3 linked regions of the Arabidopsis thaliana genome follow. The protein of the gene in region 1 interacts with the protein of each later gene in a biochemical or structural test. Each region holds a gene or a part of one and is shown on either strand. Other genes may lie near its edges.

Region 1 (6,629 bases):
CTGTCAAACCGTGCGTGTCCATGTTTATTGATTTTTCCTTCTGTTCTTTCCACCTATGTGTGTGTGTCTCTGTGATGTTTATAAAAAAAAACAATAAATTTTTTTAGAAAATATCTGGATGTTCCAGGTTTGTTATTCGATTCAGAGCAAAACGATTAAGTGTTTAAATGGATTTAGATTTACAGTAAATATCCAGATAGAGAGAAAGAAGGATAAGGAGAGAAGAAAACGATTACTTTCTTCTATTCTTGTTCATTACAACCTTATAATCTCAACATTTGTTTTTTTTCTTTTGTTCTCTCTTTCTTACATATTTCTTTTGGATTTCGTTGTCTTTTTTTTTTCTCTCTTTTCTTCTCCTCTCTCTCGCTCGATTTCAATTTGGGCGAGAAAGGAGCGGTCTTTTGTCTTTCCTGGGTTTATCAGCTAGATCCCTCTTGCCTAAAGTTTGTAACTTTCTTAGGGTTTTCTTCTGATTTCCTCTCTCTCGGGGTTAATTCTGCTCAAAAATGTAAGCCCTTCTCCTTTTATTTCGTTTGTTAGATTTTGTTTTGCTTGATCTGATTCTGTTATGTAATTTTGGGTTCAGGGTTTGATTCAGAGGCAAATCTGGTTTTGTTTAGACAATAAAGTTCGGGACTTTTTGACATACTCACAGCTGGTTTTTAGCTTTGGTTCTTATAGAGAGTAATAGTAGTGAAGGGTTTGTGCCAATAGTTAGAAATGATCAAACAGATATTTGGGAAATTACCTAGAAAGCCTTCCAAATCATTGCAGAATGACTCCAATGGTGAAGGAGGTGTTAATAATTCTTATTATGCTTCGAATTCGAGTACTACTAGTATCTCTAAACCTTCTTCAACATCTTCGAAATCATCATCAGCCTCGGGTTCGCGTGTAGCTAATGGAACTCTTGCTCCTAACTCAATGAGCTCTAATAGGAATACTAATCAAGGGAAGAAACCATTGGGAGGAGATGCTGTTGTACAAGCTGGACCGTTTCCGTCTTCTGGTGGGGTTTATGAGGCTTTGCCTAGCTTTAGAGATGTTCCTATATCGGAGAAACCGAATCTCTTTATCGGGAAGTTGAGTATGTGCTGTGTTGTTTTTGACTTTAGTGATCCGTCTAAGAACCTTAAGGAGAAAGAGATTAAGAGGCAGACATTGCTTGAGCTTGTTGATTATGTTGCATCAGTTGGTTTTAAGTTTAACGATGTTTCGATGCAAGAGTTAACGAAGATGGTAGCGGTTAATCTGTTTAGAACTTTTCCTTCTGCGAATCACGAGAGTAAAATTCTTGAAATACATGATATGGATGATGAAGAACCTTCTTTGGAGCCAGCTTGGCCTCATGTTCAAGTTGTGTATGAGATTCTTCTCAGATTCGTGGCTTCTCCCATGACTGATGCAAAGCTTGCCAAGAGATATATTGACCATTCTTTTGTCTTGAAGCTCTTAGACTTGTTTGATTCTGAAGATCAAAGAGAGAGGGAATATCTAAAAACTATTCTGCATCGGGTGTACGGGAAGTTCATGGTGCATCGACCTTACATCAGAAAGGCGATAAACAATATCTTCTACAGATTCATATCCGAGACTGAAAAGCATAATGGCATTGCGGAGTTGCTAGAGATTCTTGGAAGTATAATTAATGGTTTTGCTTTGCCTTTAAAAGAAGAGCACAAGCTCTTCCTTTTGCGAGCCTTGATTCCTCTCCACAAGCCTAAATGTTCATCAGTCTATCACCAACAGCTTTCGTATTGCATTGTTCAGTTTGTAGAAAAGGACTTCAAGCTCGCTGATACCGTTATTAGAGGTCTTTTAAAATATTGGCCTGTGACTAACAGCTCAAAGGAAGTTATGTTTCTTGGAGAGTTAGAAGAAGTCTTGGAAGCAACTCAAGCCGCTGAGTTTCAACGTTGTATGGTTCCATTATCCCGACAAATTGCTCGATGCCTCAACAGTTCACATTTCCAGGTTCGAGTCTTTGACTATCATCACAACTTCATATCTATCTCTCTTGATAAAGTCTTGTACCTATATATGAAGTTGTACTTTTTGTTTGTCAGGTTGCTGAAAGAGCATTGTTTCTATGGAACAACGATCACATAAGAAACCTGATCACTCAGAACCATAAAGTGATAATGCCTATAGTCTTCCCAGCTCTTGAGAGAAACACGCGTGGACATTGGAACCAAGCAGTTCAAAGTCTGACTATAAACGTGAGGAAAGTATTATGCGAGATTGACCAAGTTCTTTTCGACGAGTGTTTAGCCAAATTCCAAGTAGAAGAAGTGAATAAAACAGAGGTTAAAGCGAAACGGGAAAGGACATGGCAACGGTTAGAAGATTTAGCTACTTCAAAGACCGTTGTAACCAACGAGGCAGTACTGGTTCCAAGATTTGTGTCCTCAGTCAATCTTACTACAAGCAGCTCTGAGTCCACAGGGTCGTAGTAGGCTCTCGTAGGTTACTATGTACTTGTAACAAATATTTGTGGTCACTATAGAAATGGTTCTTGAGAGACGACTGTATAATTATTTTTTTAAATTATAATCTTTTGGGTCAAATTGAGAATATTTGATATTATTTTACTGAATTATAATAAACGCCGTTAAAACTCTCGTTAGTTAACGGCTGACTCTGAAGTGAAAACTGAAAAGTCGAAGGGTCTCTTTATATTTTCAGAATCAAAATCTGAAATTTATCTCTCGGTCGATCCAGTCTTCGTGAGTGACTTCGACGACGACGACGAGTCACACTACTCTTGAGCTTCTCATACTTCGTAAGTTCACTCTCCTCTTCTCTAAATTGACAAACTTTTTCTTCGTTTTCTGCTATTATTGACGACGAGACTTGATTTTGTTTTGAAATGAAATGGTTCAAGTAGCTGACTTCGACTATGTTCTTTTGGGTTTTTGTCATTGAATCTTACTTGTCTGATTTGGTCGATGTTTAATCAATTCAACACTTAAAGATTCAATTTTTGGATTGACACTTGCACATTTTTATTCAGACCCAGGTTGATTTGGGAAATAATGGATGAATCTCTGGAGCATCAAACTCAAACACATGGTAAGTAAATTTTCATAGATTTAATCTCTCTGAATACATATATATGACTTCAATATGTTTGATTGGAGTTTTTTTGTTGTCCCATATTCAATTGGATGCTTTGTTAAAGGATAAATGTCTATCAAATTATGTTGACTGCGTTATTCTTTCTAAATCATATTGTGAATCTTGGAACAAAGCATGTATACAACAAATTTGTTAGACTTGATAACTCCTTTTCTGTTTGTTAAGAATTGAGAATGACTATTGGGGTTGACTAATGCATCTTTTGTGGCTCCAGACCAAGAGAGCGAAATAGTTACTGAAGGAAGTGCCGTTGTGCATAGTGAGCCATCTCAAGAGGGTAATGTTCCTCCTAAAGTTGATAGTGAAGCTGAGGTCTTGGATGAGAAAGTCAGTAAGCAGATTATAAAGGAAGGTCACGGTTCCAAACCATCCAAGTACTCTACATGCTTTTGTAAGTACCCTTTAGCTTTCTGTTGATTGGATGTTGATTTTTCGATTGCACTTGTTGGCCTATTGCTACTGTTTATTTGAATCTTTCTATCTGACCAATTTCATATTGGCCATAGTGCACTACAGGGCATGGACCAAAAACTCGCAGCACAAATTTGAGGATACATGGCATGAGCAGCAACCTATTGAATTGGTTCTTGGAAAAGGTATGTGGCTGTCGAATATGTACTCTACACCTCCATTTCGTTAGATGAATCGTCATTGGTAAATTTGATGAGTTAGCTTGTGTATTATATGAACCCAATGAGATGGATATTTGGGAGGAAAAAAGATTGAGTTTTGTATTTTTTTTGCTTCAATGCTGATTAGCCCATTTTAACGTCACTATACAATTTTTTTTATAAAAAAGATTGTGCACTAAGAGTGAAATGTTGTCTGTGAGACAGAGAAAAAAGAACTAGCCGGTTTAGCCATCGGTGTTGCTAGCATGAAGTCTGGTGAACGTGCGCTTGTGCATGTTGGCTGGGAATTAGCTTATGGGAAAGAAGGAAACTTTTCTTTTCCGAATGTTCCACCTATGGCAGACTTGTTATATGAGGTGGAAGTTATTGGGTTTGATGAAACAAAGGAGGTAAGTTATTTCCTATACCATCATCTTGTTTCCTTACCAAGACGACTCCACATCCAAGCTTTATCCCAACCTCCTTGCTTACCTCTCTGACTTAGATGATGTATTGAACAGGGAAAAGCTCGCAGTGATATGACTGTAGAGGAAAGGATTGGTGCAGCAGACAGAAGAAAAATGGATGGGAATTCTCTTTTTAAGGAGGAGAAACTGGAGGAAGCCATGCAACAGTATGAAATGGTTATGCATCTCTCTCTATCTCTATCTCTCTTTCCAACAATTACGGTCAAAGTTTAGGTTTTCAGGCATACTTAGTGAGTCTGCTCGAGGCTCTTGTGTCTTCTTTCGGCTTTTGATTAGTCATGGTTTTGCTGTTTCAGGCCATAGCATACATGGGGGACGATTTTATGTTTCAGCTGTATGGGAAGTACCAGGATATGGCTTTAGCAGTTAAAAACCCATGCCATCTTAACATAGCAGCTTGCCTCATCAAACTAAAACGATACGATGAAGCAATTGGTCACTGCAACATTGTAAGACTCATCAAACCATTCATTTGAAGAAAATCATTAAAGTTCATACTCGGTTTCTCGAAATCTAATCAAACTCAAAACCTTATCAGGTGTTGACAGAAGAAGAGAAAAACCCAAAAGCACTGTTCAGAAGAGGGAAAGCAAAGGCAGAGCTAGGACAGATGGACTCAGCACGTGATGATTTCCGAAAGGCACAAAAGTATGCTCCTGACGACAAGGCGATTAGAAGAGAGCTACGAGCACTTGCAGAGCAAGAGAAAGCCTTGTACCAAAAGCAGAAAGAAATGTACAAAGGAATATTCAAAGGGAAAGATGAAGGTGGTGCTAAGTCAAAGAGCCTTTTTTGGTTGATAGTGTTATGGCAATGGTTTGTTTCCCTTTTCTCCCGTATCTTTCGACGCCACAGAGTTAAAGCAGATTAATGTATGAAGAAGGGTAACAATTCAACTCTAAAAGACCAACGTGAAAGATCTACCCCCATTTCTTATTAGTGAGAATTTTGAAAAATATTTTATATAAGAAAAAAAAATAGTCTCTATTGTTTTCGATTATAAAGTAACTTTATATTTTGATCCAAAAAAATAAATTTTTAACAAAAAACATACAAAATTCGAACGTAAAATCTACTTCCTTCAACAGAAATGGCGGTCTTCATAGTTTTTGTCTTTGACCAAAGACTTTCAAATTCCAGCTGCTAGTTGCATTAAATGATCTTAGTATTATTAATTAATTAAGAAACTTCTCAACAATTAACAAACACTAATCAGTAATCATCATTCTCTTTAGTTGAAAAAAATAGTCAACGTTTGATTAAGTCAACCTTTTTCGTCTTTGAATCCATCTTCTTCCCCACAGAGCAACGACGAAACAAAAAAAACAGAGACCCTTCCTCTGGGGAATCTAAGGAAGCTTCAAAATGAAGCTAAAGATTTCTCTAATCGCTCCGATTCTTCTTCTCTTCTCATTCTTCTTCGCCGTGGAATCTAAGTGCAGGACTAGCTGTCCTTTAGCTCTAGCTTCGTACTATCTCGAGAACGGAACAACACTCTCCGTCATCAACCAAAACCTCAATTCTTCAATCGCGCCTTACGATCAAATCAATTTCGATCCAATCCTCAGGTACAACAGTAACATTAAAGACAAAGATAGAATCCAGATGGGCTCTAGGGTTCTTGTACCTTTCCCTTGCGAATGTCAACCTGGTGATTTCCTAGGGCACAATTTCAGCTACAGTGTTCGACAGGAAGATACTTACGAAAGAGTCGCGATTAGTAATTACGCGAATCTCACGACGATGGAGTCGTTACAGGCGAGGAATCCTTTTCCGGCGACTAACATACCTCTCTCTGCGACGCTTAATGTATTGGTGAATTGTTCTTGTGGTGATGAGAGTGTTTCGAAAGATTTTGGTTTGTTTGTTACGTATCCGCTTCGTCCTGAAGACAGTCTCAGTTCTATTGCGAGATCTTCCGGTGTATCGGCGGATATTCTGCAGAGATATAATCCCGGTGTTAATTTTAACTCCGGGAATGGAATCGTTTATGTGCCTGGAAGAGGTACAAAGATTGATCTTTGATGATTTGTGACACAAATTGTTATAAATGTAGTAATGATTGTTGAAGTTTATGTACATGTTCCTGTGTTTTTTGCAGATCCAAATGGTGCATTTCCACCATTCAAATCAAGGTTGTTTTTGTTGTTGTTAAGATTGTATCTTTGTTCATTTTGATATCTATTTACTGATGTATTTCTACTTCTCTTATGTTTTTTGTAGTAAACAAGGTTGGTTCTTTTCTCCATTTTTGAGCTTTTGATGATTATGCACGAAGCAAGAGGAGACATGGAAGAGTATGTTTTTGATATTTTTTTGTATTAGCAGATGGTGTTGGTGCTGGAGTTATTGCTGGTATAGTTATAGGAGTGATTGTGGCTTTGTTGTT
Region 2 (8,286 bases), on another chromosome or scaffold:
AATTCATCATCCGCAACACCTTGATAAATGACTCTTCTAACGCTGTTCCTCTTTGGATTAGGAATAGGCGTAATAGACTTGAATATCAAACGGATCGAGGTGCAAATCTCATCTTGATCTATACCATTTCTCTGCTTGCGCATGTTTTATCTTCAGAGCTTTTCTTATGTCCCACTCCCAGTATCCATCTGTTGCATATCTTTTCATTATTTTTAATTTGCATTTTCACGGTGTTCACAAAAATATAATCTAATCTTACAAAAAAAATCTTGCGTTGATTTGTAAAAGTTATAAATGTAGTTCAAGTTCCAGTATCCATGCTACTTTACATAAAAAAAAAATAAGAGTAAAAAAACCTTGGTGACATTGTTAAACTTTTATTAATAGAAAGTGGGGAATTCCAGTACTGTAGCTTAAATTATTGGCCTTCTATGAATTTCTCAATTAGTGAACGACATGTGCCGAGAGGAGCTAGTGCTTCTTCTTCTCCACCACTATAATTTCCAAGTTTGTTCATAATTAAACACAAATTTATTTGCATTCAACAGCTAAAACAAAGTAGTCATCATCATCATGGTGTGTGTCCCATATGCATATATGTGTGTGTGGTCGCACGCGTGTGTTGCACAAAGAAACGAAGTCAAGAATTGTTTTGTTCATAAAAAGTTATATAAACACAAAAGAAATGTTGTCTTTTCTTTCTTTTTTTCATTATTGTTTTAGCTTTGGGTCTCATCATCTCATTCAATGTCCTTTTTGGACCCATCTTCTTTTTCTCATCTTCTGTTTTCTCATCTTCATAATTTTGTTCCCCACGTATGTTCGTGTGTCTATACATCTAAAGCATTCTTTTTGACAATATTGTCATAGTTAATTATTTATATGCTTACATTACTAATCATGATCTAGTATAAAAGCATGATGTACACACAATAGATTTTAAAATAGACCCACAACATTCGAGACCCATCACCCATCTAACCAATACAATTAAAAACCTTAAAAGATTACATTTTCATCATATACCATAATATTTCTTTTAGAACGGATCTCATGATTGAAAAGTTAGGCTTATCCTGAAATCTAGAACAAGACCAAACCAATATATATGGTAACAAGTGCCTCGATGATTATGAGATACATACCTCTCATCATCACCTTCTTCACTTCACTAGAAAGGCAGAGGCTCATAGATTGATATGGCATATAAATGGATATTACAGAGGTGAAAAATTAGATTAATTATGATAATACACAATAATAATACTATACCATCAAATCTGAAACGTAGTTCCAAAAATAAGTAACCCCAAAATCAAAACAGAAAGAAAAAAAGAGAAAATGATGAGTTCGTAGAGTTTTTTATCAGAAACATCTTCTGGTGTTTGTTGTTTTTTACTCTCCTTCTTTTTTCTTCTATATGACCAAAGTAGTAAGTACTAAGCATCATCTTCCTTAACCCTAGAACTTGAACCTGACGTCATACCAATCACTTGTGTATGCGTAAATCTTTGCAACTGTATCATTCGCGCGTAGATTCCATCAGGATGGTTCTTGAGAAGATGCGAATGCGATCCTTGTTCAGCCACTTTTCCATCATCGATGACAGCGATCACGTGTGCGTTCCTGATTGTAGATAGCCTATGAGCCACGACTATTGATGTTCTACCAGAGCAAGCCTGGTCTAATGCTTCTTGGACTGATCTCTCGGACTCTGCATCAAGAGCGCTTGTAGCCTCGTCAAGCAGCATGATCTCTGCTTTCCTCACGAGGGCACGTGCGATCGCGATCCTCTGTTTCTGTCCTCCCGAGAGCTGAACGCCTCTCTCGCCAACATACGTTTTGTAACCTTCTGGTAGCGCGGATATGAATTTGTGCGCACTGGCTAGAGTCGCGGCTTGTATGATCTCTGCTTCGGTCGCACATTCATGTCCATATGCAATGTTTTCGTAAATGGTAGTTCCGAACAAGCACGGCTCTTGAGGGACTATGGCTATGTGTTTCCTTATGGCTTTCAGGTTGTATTTCCTTATGTCTTTCCCGTCGATCATGACTCGGCCTGAGGAAGGTTCGTAGAATCTCTGGATGAGGGAGATAACTGAGCTTTTTCCGCACCCGCTTGGACCCACAAGAGCTAGGGTTTTGCCAGCTCTAGCACGAAGGCTAAGGTCACGGAAAATCTGGATGTCTGGCCTTGAAGGGTAAGAGAAATCGATATGTTTGAGCTCGACTTCACCACGTAACCGGTCTGGGACCGGGGTGGTATCAGGATCATCAGGTTCAATCTCGGTTTTCCGGTCAAGAAGTTCGAAAACAGACCGCATAGCTTGACCACCTTTGATGAAATCAGGAGCCAGTGTGAGTGTCTCTGCTGCACCATTGGCTGAGACCATCAGAACCATGAAGACTCTTATGGTTTTGGAGAAGTCAGAGATGCCGTGTTTCACAAGCCATGATGCGTACCATAGCCCGAGAGCATAAGATGCATAAAGACAGAACTGAGCTACACCATAACCACTTCCAGCGATCTGTCCTTTCCAGAAGCATCGTTTCAATGGTGGTTCGAGGTTTGCAGTGTAGAGACGGACAATCTTTGCCTCCGAGTTAAATGCAGCAACTGTCCTGACATTAGCTATGGCTTCACCAGCAAGCTGCGTTCCCTTGGCATGTGCCGCTTCCAGGTCTCCCGAGAAACCAGTCATGAACATTTTCTGTTCAAAAGACAAGACAAAGTTTCAGATCCAAGAACAACAATGAGAGCATGCACATGCTTTAAAAGAACACAAACCTGTAAGACAGTTGCAGCAACAACTACGGGGAAGACTGCGACAAGGACAAGTGCGAGTCTCCATTGTAGAACAAACCCGGCAGTGCAAGCAACAAGCATCAGTGCTGTGTTCTGCACAATAACCGATATTCTATCTCCTATCGCAGATCTCACATTATTAGCATCAAGAGCTAATCTTGCTGCGATTCTTGCACTTTCGTTCTCCTCTTGATCAAACCAAGCCATCTCATTCTTGAGTACAGCGCTCAGCATCTTCTCACGGACTCTCTTGGTCAGATTCTCACCCACAATGTCCCAGAAAGAATGCTGGAGCGTGTTGAAGACAAGTGCTGCGGAAGAGAGACCGATTAAGAGATAACAGTACTTATCAATCTGTTTGATCATGTATTCGTGGTCCGGGTTGTAGTAGACGCTTAAGACTGCACTGAGGACATATGCGAAGAATGCACTAAGGGAGCCACAAATGACAGAGCCTACTGAACCGAGCAAAGCGTATTTCCACTCTGGAGAGTTCATTTTAGCTAGTCGCCAGAATGAATTGGCTTGATCCTTGAAGGCCAGCTTCTCGTTTCTATAGTTTGGGTAGGACGAAGCGTCAATGGAGAGGCTAAAATCAGAAGTTGAGAAATCGGATAGTCTCCGTGAATAAGGTGATCTTCCATACGACGAATTCCGAGTCATTATTGGCGAGCTAACCGAGTTTCTAGCACTCGACGGTCTGCAACAAATAGATTAACATCAGTAACCCAAAAAAAAGCATCATCAAAACAAAAAACAAACACAAAATGAATAAGAGTATACCTTGCGCTACTCTTTCTTGCATTGCTCATGGCGGTTTCGTGAGCTGCTTCTTGCATTTTAATTAGCTTAGCATAGACTCCATTTTCTCCCTTGGAAAAAAGCTCATCATGCGTTCCAATCTCAGAGACACTTCCTTGCTGTAGCACAGCAACAAGGTCAGCTTTTCGAATGGTAGAAAGGCGATGAGCAATGATGAGAGTAGTCCTTCCAATCATGAAACGATCCAAAGCCTCTTGTACAAGCTTCTCTGATTCAGAATCCAATGCACTCGTCGCCTCATCTAATAGAAGTATCGCCGGGTTCTTCAACATCGCTCTTGCTATCGCTATTCTTTGCTTCTGCCCACCAGACAGCTGCAATCCTCTCTCCCCAACCTGACATTATTCACATTTACCACATGAGTATAAACAAACATATGTCTATCTGGATTAAAAATCCATTGGAATAGTGGTTGCTGGTTTTCAAGTTAAAGTAGCAAGAAAAAAAACAAGCACATGAACACTAAAAAAAATTCAACATCAAGACACATGACTAAAACTACTTGTCTGGGTCTCACATGCGTTGTTGACCAAACCCATGTTACTCTGTTATAAATGCTTTTCCATGACCATACCTCTTCTCTCTTTTGACTCTTTCAAAATACCTTAAACTAATGAATAATTGAAGAAACAAAAGAACACAGATTCACATAAACCATCAGACCTGTGTGTCGAAGCCATCAGGTAGTTTGATGATAAAGGAATGAGCATTTGCGACTCGAGCAGCCTCCTCTATCTCGACTTGATCTGCGTCAGGACGGCCTAAGAGTATATTCTCCTTGATAGAAGTGGCGAATAATGCAGGTTCTTGACTCACTAGCCCTATCTGTTGCCTTAACCATCTCAGTTTCAGCGTCTTCAGGTCTTGCCCATCTAGTAAAACTTGTCCTGCAGAGACGATAACACCGTGTTAATTAAAATAACAATGCTCGAACAAAACAGCTTGAAATGTAACAGAATGTTAAGATTGTTAACCTGAGTTCGGGTCGTAAAACCGCTCTATAAGCGAAACGACTGTGCTTTTTCCTGAACCACTGCTCCCAACCAAAGCAATGGTCTTCCCAGCAGGAACAGAGAGGCAGAAGTTGTTAAGAATCTTAACATCTGGCCTTGACGGATACGAAAAGTCCACATTTTTAAGCTCGACAAGACCCGTGACTGAGTCTAACTCCACACCGGACTCGCTGTTACGCTCTATCGTTGGTTTGTGATCAATGATTCTAAAGATCTTTGCAGCAGCAACCTTTGCTTTGGCAAATGCAGCCATGCTCGGTGCTGATTGTCCCAATGCCCTTTAAACAAAAATAAAAAAACTCATCACCATCAACAAACCAATATCAAACCAAATGATAACAAGAGTGATGAACAGAGAAGAGCAAAGAGTTGCTTACAATCCACCAATCATAACGGCGAACATTGTGGCAATAGCGAGACCACCGTTGGTCAAATGGTGGCGAACTAGATAACCACCGTACCAAAGCAAGAGAGCGTAACAACAAAAGACAACGAAGTATGTAGCACCAAGTCCCATTCCTTTAGCTAAACCTGTTTTGTAACCAAGCTTCTGAGCAATCTTCAAAGCTGATGAATAAGCTTGTGAAGCTCTTGATTCTCCAACGAAAGCCATCACTACCCTGATTTGTACCACTGTCTGCCATTTTTTTCAGAAATTGAATCAGACCCAAAAAAAAACCAGATGATAGAATGATCTGATGATTACTGGATTTGACAAAAATAGAAACTTTATTTATTTATTTCTAGGGATTTGTGCACTCTACCTGTTCGACGATATTACCAGCTTGTGAAAGAGACTCTTGACTCTTATTAGATAGTTTAGAGAGAGTAGTGGTGTGAATTCCTCCGATCACAGCAATCAACGGAACCACCGCGAGAGTCACTAAAGCTAGTTGCCACACCGCAGTGAAACCCACGATGAATCCAGAAACAAAAGTCGCCATGTAATGGATGAAATTACCAAGCTGAGATTCCCAAAAAAAAACAGATCAGATAAGGAAGAAGAAACAAAAAGACTAAGAATTTGAAGATTCTTACTTTCTCACTAATGGCGTCTTGAACCATAACAGCGTCGGTGTTAATGGCGAAGACAACATCTGAAGTTCGAACTTCTGTATCAAAGAACTGAATGTCTTGATTCAAAGCTGCTTCTAAATACTTAATCCTCATCTTCGTTGTTTGTCTCTCTCCACTCCACATCCAACACGAAATCTCTGCAACAACGAAACCATATTTAAAACCGAATCAGATCAAGAGAACAGTATAAAAGTTTAGATCTTTAAGTAACTTTCTTCTAACCTGCCCAAGAGGAAGCCCAGATTGCAGCACCAACCACTAAAAAGTAAAGCGCATACTGCAATAACCAAAAACAAGTTAGTGTTTTCAAAGATTGAAGATGAAGAGAAAGAAATAAAGTTAGTACCTTGAGAACTTCTTCCATCATCTTTTCAACGTTATTAGAATTAGAACCAAAGGAATTAACAAGATCGGCGAAGAATCGAAGAAACAGAGGTAAAGAGCAGCCATGGACAAAAGCACCAACAGAGCCAATTCCCATCAATACATAATCTAATCCGTCGGCGAATCTGAATAGCTCTTTAAAAGCAACTCCACGAATCTCTGCTTTCTTAGGCTCTTCCACCACTAGTGTCGGCGGAGGAGGAGGAGCACCACCGTCATTATCCATTTCCGGTGAGTTTCTCTGGAGCTTCGTGAGTTGTTGTTGGTGTTATGAGGGAGAAGCTCAAGGCCTTGCATTTCGGACCAACGCCATTGTTCAAGTGACTTAATTTCTTCTTCTTCGTCTACTTTTTTCTGATCAGATTGTTGGGACATTTGTGTAGATGTTTTCTTACTTTGCTTTATAGAGAACCTCAAAAACCACAACAGCCCTGAAGAAAATTAATAAATAAATAATATACTATTTTTTAAAAATCTTATTTTGTTTTCTTATTAAAATAAAATAAAACTCAAGACTATAAAAATCGAATAGCTTCTTCTTCACAACACTTATTTTTATAATCTTCCATCTTCAGTTTTCTTCCGCTCTATATGCTTTCTTTAATACTTTACTAATCCCACTCTTCATTTGTTTTGATTTATTTCCTTATTTATTAACGTTTTTTACCGTTTTTTAATTATTAATTATGTATAATTTGCGATTAATCAGTCAACTTGTGTACTGGCCAGTCAATTTGTGTATTTATTCTCTTTATTACCAACTTAAAAAATTTAATAGAATTACCAAAATTTGGATTTTCGTGTAGTGATTTTCAGCCCACGCTTGATGTTTTTATTTCCTTTTTACACATTTGTTTCCATGTTCTTGGAATCGTTTGCTTTTTAGTGGGTTTTTATTTTGTCACACAAAAAAAGGAATTAATACTTTAGTAAATTGTTATTTTTTTTTCTTCGGTTTCTTGTTGCGTAGAAAACAAAGAAAGTGACAGATGATGGAAGAGAGAGAGATTGATGGAATCCGACATAGAACACTGTTAGAAATTGGAGATAAGTTTTTTTTGACTCCCAACAGTTTCTGCTCTTCATTGGTCTCAATAATCTCTCTATATATCTTTTTTATAAAATCAGGGAAAAACAATAATAATTACCGTGAGGTGCAATGATAAACGATAATCACATTAAAAAAAAAATATTTAGCATCAAAAACAAAAAAGAATATATATATAATCACTTCTTCTATTTTTTTAGACCAAATTTGGTAGGTACAATTATTATCGATTATGATTGTTCGTTAGATCTTGGAAATGTGTACAGTAGTTATAAATCATGACACCAACTACAGAAAATTACTGGATTAAAAGTTAAAACCATTTTGTTAAGTGGTTTTATTAAAATGTATTGGCAAATTATAGATGTGATTATTGTTGTGTAGGATCTAATTAAATAAAATTACATTCAAAATGTCAAACAGTCAACGTTTACAAAACTGTGGATGGATTCATACACAAGTTATAGGTACCTGCAACTTCTGTTCGGTTGTTTTTAAACTATTGTCTGAAAGTCTTAAGTGTGAAATATTGTTACAACTACAAGAGAAATGCACCCCAAAAAAAAAAACAAATCAACGATTAAATGTTACACCTACAATTGCAACTAATCATATAAGAATTTCTATATAAGTTTATTTTTCATATAGATAAACAAATCTCTTTTGCTATTTTTAATCAGTGTTTTTTTCTTTGAGAGTAATAAGCAAACTTTGGTAGTTGAGTTTTGTTGTACATTGAATTATTATATGATAAAGTACAATTGTATTTTTACTATCTCAACTTTTTTAGTAGTAGTTTGTTTTGCCTTTTCTTTTTGGGATATCACATTCCAATGAGCCCAAGTGAAGAAGGGTTGCTCTGCGAGTGTGTAAGAATATATATATGTTCACACAATAGTTCCCTTTCCTTTAATTATGGTCTCAACTTTAATTATTAGATATTTTCTAATTGTATTAATCACAATTATAAAACATCATTAACAAAATAGAAAAATTGGGGTTCACATTAACCTGGTGAAGAAAAACGAATCTAACCGGTTTAGTTTAATTTAAATGGAAAAACGAAAGTCGTGATAGTGAATTATTTATGTGATTATTTAATTAAAAAGAAATAAAATCAGAGTCAGAGTAAGACA
Region 3 (8,591 bases), on another chromosome or scaffold:
GGAATTCGGATTCTTGAAAGACCCGATAAAGAAGGCGGAAACGAAGAAGGAGGGATAGAGGAGAGACTGAGGGAATTGAAGAAGCTTTTGCCAGGTGGGGAAGAGATGAATGTGGAAGAAATGTTGAGTGAGATTGGTAACTACATTAAATGTCTTGAGTTGCAGACGATTGCTCTCAAGTCCATTGTTCAAGATAGTACTTGACTTTTAGTTTAAGTGTATAATTTATAGTTTGTTTCATGTTTTTTTTGTTGTCTTTAAACGAAAATCATCTGTGTTTTTTTTTTTCTCTTGATTTCTTTAAGAACAAGAGCATGTATTATAGTGTTTTTCTTTTTTCCTTTTCTTAATTAATCATGGTTACCGAAATACCTAAAGTACCACACATGGCCGTTTATACGTACATCTTATAAAATTCGATCAAAATCTGATTGAAATTTAAATTATTGGTTGTAATGCCAAATAGACGATGTGCTGCCTAAAATAAAACTCTTATGTTGTCTTTTTTTCCTGAATTTATTATTTTAATGTTATGAGCAAATCTCCAAACTTTAATATTCTAATCATTTTAACCTGACAAACTTTGTGTTTGTGTATATATTTATATTCCTGCAAGTTTTTTTTCTCCTTTAGCGAAAACATATGAACTTTCGACTACAAAAAATCAGATGTAACAAATCTTCAATTAAATAAAAGCTACACATTAGTAGAGATCACCAATATGTTCCAGCTGCAGTAACTACAGGTGCACCATTAAAATGTAAACAAAAATTAGGACTACTGGACTAGAATTACTTTCCAAAAAATTCGATGAATATGAAAAACAAAACGCCGAAATTGTAAATATCTAAAAAGGAGGAAAGTTGGATGACATATGTGTAAACTATGAAAGTCATAACATTGATTTGAAGTCATCATCCATATCTTTGCACGTGTCTCACAGTCACTCGCACGCATCCAAATCTCTCTATTTCTCTTAAGATTCTAGCCGTACTACTTCCACACAACTTGTCTCATGTCATGTTTTTAATGGCATTTTTAAAGGATAGTGTTATTTAATTGATTTGGTTTCAGTGAAAAAAAAAAAGAAAAAATTATGGTTATTTCCCTTCTTTACAACAAACAAAATTTGATTTAAATAAGCAAATTGTTTGTTGTCCCTAGGTATAAATAACATTTAGGTACTATATATAAAAGTAAAGAAGCCGGAAGAAAAGTTGGATTACGAAAAAGAAGAAGATTAAGATTACATAGGCTCATGGAATAAGAGCAAAGAAGAGAATGTGCATGTGCCAAATGCCAAACACAAAGGCATGCCTTGTTTCTTCAAAAGAGCAAATTATGCAAAAGTACATATTTGAGAAACAAGAACACTAACAATAAGGTTTGGGAAGAGTTATGGCAATAAACAAAGATCTCTCCCTATGTGAATAATAATCATAAGAGGTGGTGAAGAAAAAAAGAAGAAGAAGAAGACAAAACATGAGAGGATCGAAGATCAGTCATATGTTTGGTTTTACTACACAGTGTAGTGACTGGGAGTTTCAATGTCCAAGCCCTTTAGCTTCACGACTGATTCCACATGTCCCTTGAGTGTGTGCAGCTCCCTAAGCCTGTTTAACATATAACAATTCAATTAGTGTTTAATTCCAACAAAAAAATACACTTAGATTAAAAAGAATCGTGTGTGATCGGATTTATTACCTAGCGATCTCAGCTCTTCTCTTAGCTTGCTCAGCGATCTCAGACAATTCTCTGTAACTTCCTTTCTCAGGGAAGATGTTAACAGCTTCTTTTGGCTGTAAACCGTGAAGTGTCCTTTGAGCAAGTGCCCATTGAGCCTCTCTCTCTTCTTTTCCGTAATCTTTCTTCATCGTGAAAGCCGTCTTGTTCTCAAACAAGTTGAGCCACGCCTTTCCGCTCAAGATGTATCGAATGGCAAACTTGAAAACGTCCAATGGGAAGTATGTGACAATACTGTATAGCCAGATCACACCAGCCCATCCCCATCCAATACCCCTAATCTTTGCAAATTCCCAGTTGGCGTAAACCGCAATCAAAGTAGCAATCTGCATTTGGAAGAATGAATGGATTTAACGGGTGCTTCTTTGAGAACCTTTTTACCAAACAAGAATTCCCTTAAAATGTTGATTTGATGAACTTACCAGTTGTGCAATGAGGAAAGCAATCATCAGCAATGCTCCAGGACGTTCAACAAAAGACCAACTCCTTGATCTTGTGACGAAGATCAGAGCTTGACTAATGATACTAACTTGTAAGTACACCGCACCCATTAGCTCGTGGTTATTGTCCCTAATGGACCTCACACCGAATGTGTCCTGTGAATCCAATGTGAAATTTACTTTACAACTCTGAACAAGAACCTAAGAAAAAACTTCTGTAAAAGAGAAATTAATTAGCTCAATTGTATGTACCGAGAAAAAGTCAGTCTTGTGCGCCGCCCAGAAGAAAATAACAGTCATGATGGCCTGGTAGCCTCCTAGAACGACTCCAGTAGCAAAAATTTCTTTAAGTTTCCAGCTATCAGGTGTGGGAGATGGCTTAACTCTGTCCTTTGAGATTGTCATGATGGTACCTATAAGATCAAGATAGCAACACAATACCAAAAGATATAAGTAAACATTGTAGAAAAAGTAAACAAATTTTGAGGTTTATACAAAAGGACAGCCATTGCTCACCGTCGTTAAGAATGGCAATGATCAGAACCATGAAGGCTGAGAAGTCAAATTCCCATATCAAAGCAATAAGCATGAAACCAAACTGCAAAAAGTTTCAACGCAATATGATCAGCATACTATTAATCCAAGATAAAACCAACAAGGGCCAGAACTCAAACGGATTTATTTGCATACCACAATACGGATGGTGATTGAGACTGCATAGATCTGTAACAAGAGAGAAAAATAGAACAGAGTAATTAGTTTCAATTGCAAGCAAGCAAGTGGTTGGAATAAATTAAGGATGAAAAATAGGAGAAGACGCACAGTATAGTTCTTCATTCTCTGGAAAATAGCTCTGCTGGTGAGAACAGCACTGATAATAACGCTGAGTCCAGGCTCAGTGAGCACGATATCTGAAGCACCACGAGCAGCATCTGTAGCATCAGCAACAGCAATACCGATATCAGCTTTCTTTAGAGCAGGGGCATCATTGACACCATCACCAGTCATTCCAACAATATGCTTCCTCTCCTGCAACTTTTTCACAATTTCGTATTTGTGCTCTGCAATAAAAAAAACAAAGCTTAGAACTAACATCACCACCTTTGCAATGAACATATAGTGAGGTTTATAATCCAAACAATAAATAAGCAGATTATAACCTGGGAAGACTCCGGCAAATCCATCAGCCTTTTCAATCAACTCCTCAACAGGAATGGATGCGAGGTTTGCGTCTTTGTGTGTACCAAGAAGAGCCGAAGATGGATACATGTTTGTTCCCATTCCAAGTCTGCGACCAGTTTCCTTACCAATAGCAAGTTGGTCACCTGGCCACATATGTGTTCAAGAGAATGTTAGGGGGAACTTGTGAAGGTGTATAGCTAGCACAACAAGATAGATGGGTAGACAAATTTACCAGTGATCATCTTGACGTTAACACCAAGATTCAAAGCCCGTCGAATTGTTTCAGCACTGTCATGTCTTGGGGGATCAAAAAGTGGCAACAAGCCAACAAATTCCCATGGCGCACCTGGGCTTTCCTTTGTTTTCTCTGGCACCACCTACAAAAGGGAATAAGAAGACAAACAGTTGAACATTTGTTACCACTGAGAAAAGAAAAGCAAAAAGGGACTGGAACTATCAGTATTAATGGCGAATAAGTACCTGGCGAGCAACAGCCAACGACCTAAGACCACGCTCAGCATACTTGTCAATAATGGAGAGCACCTTCTTGCTAAGATCATTGCTGGCTTTGGCAAGTTCGAGGATCTGTTGGGAGAATCAAATCAGTATAAAAAAGAAAGGTAAGAAAAAAAAAGGATTAGCTTGTAAAATTAAGATCCATCACCTGCTCAGGAGCACCTTTACTGACTCTGTGCCAGTTACCACTGCCGTCAATGTAAGTCAAAGCAGTTCTCTTATCCACAGGGTTGAATGGAAGGAAGTGAACTTCCCTGATTCCAGCTCTAGCCTGTGAAAATCCCAATCAAACATCAGAACATGTTTCTTGGACGCTCAGTAAAACTACAAATAACATGTGAACCAAAAAGGGTTATACCTCCTTTGGATCAGCAAGCATCCCAACCATGGCTGCATCAATGGCATCCTGGTTCTCAACCCTGGAAGCCATAGCTGCAAATAATAGGACTTGATCTTTCTCCACACCCTTGCAGAAAACCTCGACCAAGTTTTTGTCCACACTCAATTTGTTGAGGGTTAGTGTCCCGGTTTTGTCACTGCACAGGACATCCATTCCTGCCATCTCTTCAATGGCAGTCATACGCTTGGTGATGGCACCTTGCTGAGACAACCTGTGAGACCCAATAGCCATGGTCACGGACAAGACTGTAGGCATAGCAATGGGGATACCACCGATCAAGAGGACCAAAAGGTTGTCAATTCCATCTCTGTACTTTCGGCGTTGGATCGGATACATGACGATGATCTCAATCACCATACCGATAGCAATGGAACAGATACAGAAGTTCCCAATGGCTGTAAGAACCTTCTGGAAATGTCCAACTTGGTTAGTGCTGTCCACAAGGTGAGCAGCTTTACCGAAGAAGGTATGAACCCCAGTGGCAATAACAACCGCCTCGATTTCTCCTTGTTTGCAGGTTGAACCAGAGAAAACTTCTTGACCCGGGTGCTTGGTTACAGGAAGGGACTCTCCAGTTAGAGCAGATTGGTCAACCTTTAAAGGATCACCTTCAAGTAGACGGGCATCAGCTGGGATAATGTCTCCTAATTTAATGCTAACAATATCTCCTGGGACAAGAATAGCAGCTTCTTGTTCACTCCACTTTCCATCCCTAAGAACCTGAAACAGAGAAACATCACAACAAGAACCAAAACATTAGCTCTAGGGAAAATTCAGAAAGTTCTGTATAACAAATTCACACCATTCATTCTCTTATCATATATATACCTTGGTTTTAGGAGCAAGACCAGCCATAAGAGCAGCAGCAGCATTACCAGCATTGTTTTCTTCGATAAAACTGATGGTAGAGTTGATAACCAACAGACAGATAATACCAACAAAATCCTGCCAATCCGGAGGCCTACCATCACCGTTGGCCAAAGCAATGGCCATGATTGCAGCCATTTCCATGACCCATGAAAGTGGATTCCACATAAACCCCAAAAACTTCAGAAGTTTGCTTTCCTGTCAATTTTCATTGCACAAATCACCAAACACTCAGTAACAAAAAAAAAGGAGACCAACTATGTATTTTATCTGAGAGCTACAAATGCAAAATCAGACCTTTTTCTCTTCGAGCTTGTTGGGGCCAAAGATCTGAATCCTGTCCTCCCCTTCCTGCGTTGTCAATCCTTCCCTTGAACATTTTAGCTGCTGGAAAACTTCCTCAATCGGAATTTTTTCCTGAAAAAATCAAAAGCAAATTCGATCAGATGACCAAATCCAAACAACTCAAACTTTCACATACACAAAACAAGTTTCTAAACCTTAAAAAGGAGAAACCTTTTCTTAAGTAAAACAGAAAACTTTGATGATTTTGTAACCGTAGATAAATCTACTCTGTTTCATAAGTACAATAGTTGGAAAAAAGTCGTTGACTAGTTCGGTGACAATGAAATATTTTTGGCGGGGGGGAAATAGCGGTGGTGAAGTGGGGACCGCCACCACCGACCAACGTGATGGCGACGTGAAACACACGCGCCGAAAGATTCCCCTCACTTCCCGGCGTAAAAATCGAGGCTTGGTCGCGTAAATACAGTCCAAAGTTATGTAAAAGTAGCATTTTAATAAAAAAGATTCAAATTATTGTCCCAAGAAACACAGAAAAGAAGTTACGTCTGCACAAAAGATGTGTTCTTTTTTGTTGGTTGCTAAAGACAGAGAAGTTAAACGTACCACGGAAAGGTACAACCAAAAAAAAAATCCGAACTTCGTGTTAAGTAACAGATTTGATTAAAGTCATATTTATTTTTTCTAAATACCACCAAATAAATTCTTACTAGTAACCAAAAAAAGAGAAGACAAAACATTGTACAAGTAGGTTTGGACTTTATTGAGACGTAGCTAGCTCCACCACTGAAAAAAGAGACTCTGTTTTCTTTATCTTGTTTGTTTACTAGTATATCACATGCTTAGATCTACTTTTTTCTCATGAACAAACTCTTCATGTCCTCCAAACGTTTCTTAGACTTAATTACTACCCAGAAACAAAAATATAGTCTTTCTAAACAAATTTCACATATTCAAAACTAAATCGATGAAAATGTATATATAAAAAACGAAACCATAATGAGAGTAAGTAATAACCAAGGAAAGACTTTAAAGCCACCAAGTGGATACAGATCTACTCTCATTCAGGCAGATCATCGAACAGTTTGTGAGCATAAAATAAAAACAGAGGATAAAAAATGGTATACCAGATCAACAGTCTCGTTCTTGATATCTTCGAGACTCGACATCTCTCACCACTCCTTCACTGAGAAAAACGACGGCGAATTAGTACTCAACACGACAGCTTTGTCCGCCGTTTCACTCGATCATATGTATTCCGGCAAAATAGAGAGAAGGAGAGGAGGAGAGATTAGGTGGTTCTGTTGCAGAGTCGATACGAGTCCTCTTTTTATAAGCCACTAAAAACGACGATTTTCTCCGCCGTTTTGGCTATGTGGGTCCCATTACCAAGTAGTCTCTCTATATTTATTACCCTTTTTATTTATTTTGCTGCCTCTTTAAGTTCTTAATCACCCTTTGACCGTTGATTAATGTAATATTTTTGGCTTATGAACCCGAATCAAATTTGTATATATTTTGTGGGTCCTAATTACACTTTAATTATGGAATAATTGTTCATTTTAAACAACAAAATTTTCTACCGTTAATAATTCTTATTTTCTTTTTATTTTGAGATATTTTGATGTTTTATAGTAGTTTGAAAAGGGACTCTAAGGAGGAAGTAGCTTATAAGAGAAACTAATTTGTAATATCTCTTTTTTTAATTACTAGATCATAGACTTTGGTGTTTTTTTTCTTTCTTTTGTCATGAATCATTATATCAAGAAAGAAATATTTGGTGGAGGTATACATTGCTTGGATTTTTTAATTTATATTTGACTAAGCAACATACTACTTGCTGCTTAGCCTGTCCTCTTCTTCATTTTTCTTTTTTTTTTTTTGGACACCTATTAGGTTTTGTTTAAAGAAAGATATTTCTTTCTGAAAATTTCAACTAATACTATATTTTCTTAACAAAATCGTTTTCCAACTGGTTTAGGTTCGTTTTTTCTAAATTTGTTTTTTCGATAAGCAATAATGGGTTACTTCGGTTTTGTTTCCATTTTTTCTTTCTCAACCATACAAATACTTCTCCAAGCCAAAACACTTTAAATCTCTGAAATTTTGACAGAGATGCTTATAACAAAAACTACATACCTTGATTAAGCAGGTAAGAAAACTACTTTTTCTTACTATTTTTACATTATATCAGTTGGTGTGGATCGTAATTAGTTACGACGGACTAATTTATATAGTAGTAATTTGTAGAATAGTAATTTTAATATATATAGTTATTTGTGGCCCTAACGTTGATAATGAAAATATTGGCCCTTCCAAGGTGTGCCTCATGGCAAGGTCAGCAATGGGAACGATGTCACATGTTAATAATTGAATAAAAACCATAGTGTTAATTAAATTTGTTCCCTCTGAAGATATACTGAGAAATTGACTTTTGATTGTGATGGGTCCCCCAATAATACAAAGTTCGTCATTTCCAACTCCTCTACGTTTTAACTTCTTAGGATTCATGTCCTAATTAATAAGTGTTCAAGTCTAAACAAACGTCTCGTAAATTAGGTAAAGAGAATATGTACAAGATACGAAAATCATTTCTTGTCTTTTCTTTTCTTTTCACAAATGATGGATAGAAAAATTGTAAACAAAATGATTTTATTTATCACATTTTTTTATCATGGGGTAACAAGTTTTAGATTATTGTATACAGTAACATACTTTACATATATATCATACTATTTATTTGAATAAAATACAAAAAGACATCACTTATTTACAGTTTGCCACAATATTTCTTTACCAATATAATTTTGGTAATCTAGTAAAATAAGTTCACTATGTATTTAATTTTGCAGCTCAAATGAACCTTAACTAAATTATTTAAAATATAAGATATAATATATTATCATCTAGTTGACTTAAATGACTCTTACAAACACATTTAAAAACTTATCATGTCATATATATGAAGGAAAGAGGCAAAATTTGTCCTTAATGCACACTATACATATAGAAAAGAACATCTGAATAGCCATATATCATATAACTACTAGCATAGTCCTAAAATAATCAAGGAGTTTACAGTCGCATAGGTACATATATGACTGAAAAATGAAAAACCATTTTGTTGACCTCATTAGTAC

Evidence for each region. Proteins that work in one complex are often made in the same cells at the same time.
Region 2: the proteins of TWD1 (region 1) and ABCB1 form a complex in vitro, tested with the Arabidopsis thaliana proteins (one study listed by BioGRID).
Region 3: the proteins of TWD1 (region 1) and HA2 form a complex in vitro, tested with the Arabidopsis thaliana proteins (one study listed by BioGRID).

What each region holds. Positions count from the first base shown.
Region 1 is NC_003074.8:7,617,507-7,624,135, reverse strand, and holds TWD1 (FKBP-type peptidyl-prolyl cis-trans isomerase family protein), read left to right. Parts: upstream 1-2,658; 5' UTR 2,659-2,785; intron 2,786-3,016; 5' UTR 3,017-3,038; coding exon 3,039-3,075; intron 3,076-3,355; coding exon 3,356-3,532; intron 3,533-3,647; coding exon 3,648-3,737; intron 3,738-3,977; coding exon 3,978-4,162; intron 4,163-4,273; coding exon 4,274-4,396; intron 4,397-4,536; coding exon 4,537-4,689; intron 4,690-4,778; coding exon 4,779-5,111; 3' UTR 5,112-5,285; downstream 5,286-6,629. Other genes in the region: AT3G21650 (Protein phosphatase 2A regulatory B subunit family protein), read left to right, coding at 724-1,977, 2,070-2,456; CERK1 (chitin elicitor receptor kinase 1), read left to right, coding at 5,606-6,245, 6,342-6,375, 6,464-6,471, 6,569-6,629. UniProt on the Arabidopsis thaliana protein: PPIases accelerate the folding of proteins. It catalyzes the cis-trans isomerization of proline imidic peptide bonds in oligopeptides.
Region 2 is NC_003071.7:15,500,204-15,508,489, reverse strand, and holds ABCB1 (ATP binding cassette subfamily B1), read right to left. Parts: upstream 6,765-8,286; 5' UTR 6,329-6,764; coding exon 6,065-6,328; intron 5,996-6,064; coding exon 5,941-5,995; intron 5,856-5,940; coding exon 5,680-5,855; intron 5,607-5,679; coding exon 5,406-5,606; intron 5,279-5,405; coding exon 5,019-5,278; intron 4,920-5,018; coding exon 4,603-4,919; intron 4,516-4,602; coding exon 4,292-4,515; intron 3,964-4,291; coding exon 3,590-3,963; intron 3,507-3,589; coding exon 2,789-3,506; intron 2,712-2,788; coding exon 1,440-2,711; 3' UTR 989-1,439; downstream 1-988. UniProt on the Arabidopsis thaliana protein: Brassinosteroid exporter that, in conjunction with ABCB19, supports the accumulation of exogenous brassinosteroids (BR) in the apoplast, thus promoting BR signaling initiation involving the specific receptor BRI1 and required for plant growth and stress responses.
Region 3 is NC_003075.7:14,769,301-14,777,891, forward strand, and holds HA2 (H[+]-ATPase 2), read right to left. Parts: upstream 6,759-8,591; 5' UTR 6,621-6,758; coding exon 6,579-6,620; intron 5,566-6,578; coding exon 5,446-5,565; intron 5,347-5,445; coding exon 5,110-5,346; intron 5,002-5,109; coding exon 4,240-5,001; intron 4,153-4,239; coding exon 4,030-4,152; intron 3,951-4,029; coding exon 3,846-3,950; intron 3,743-3,845; coding exon 3,598-3,742; intron 3,509-3,597; coding exon 3,006-3,508; intron 2,907-3,005; coding exon 2,874-2,906; intron 2,782-2,873; coding exon 2,700-2,781; intron 2,597-2,699; coding exon 2,436-2,596; intron 2,340-2,435; coding exon 2,166-2,339; intron 2,070-2,165; coding exon 1,705-2,069; intron 1,614-1,704; coding exon 1,520-1,613; 3' UTR 1,265-1,519; downstream 1-1,264. Other genes in the region: AT4G30180 (uncharacterized protein), read left to right, coding at 1-204. UniProt on the Arabidopsis thaliana protein: The plasma membrane H(+) ATPase of plants and fungi generates a proton gradient that drives the active transport of nutrients by H(+)-symport. The resulting external acidification and/or internal alkinization may mediate growth responses.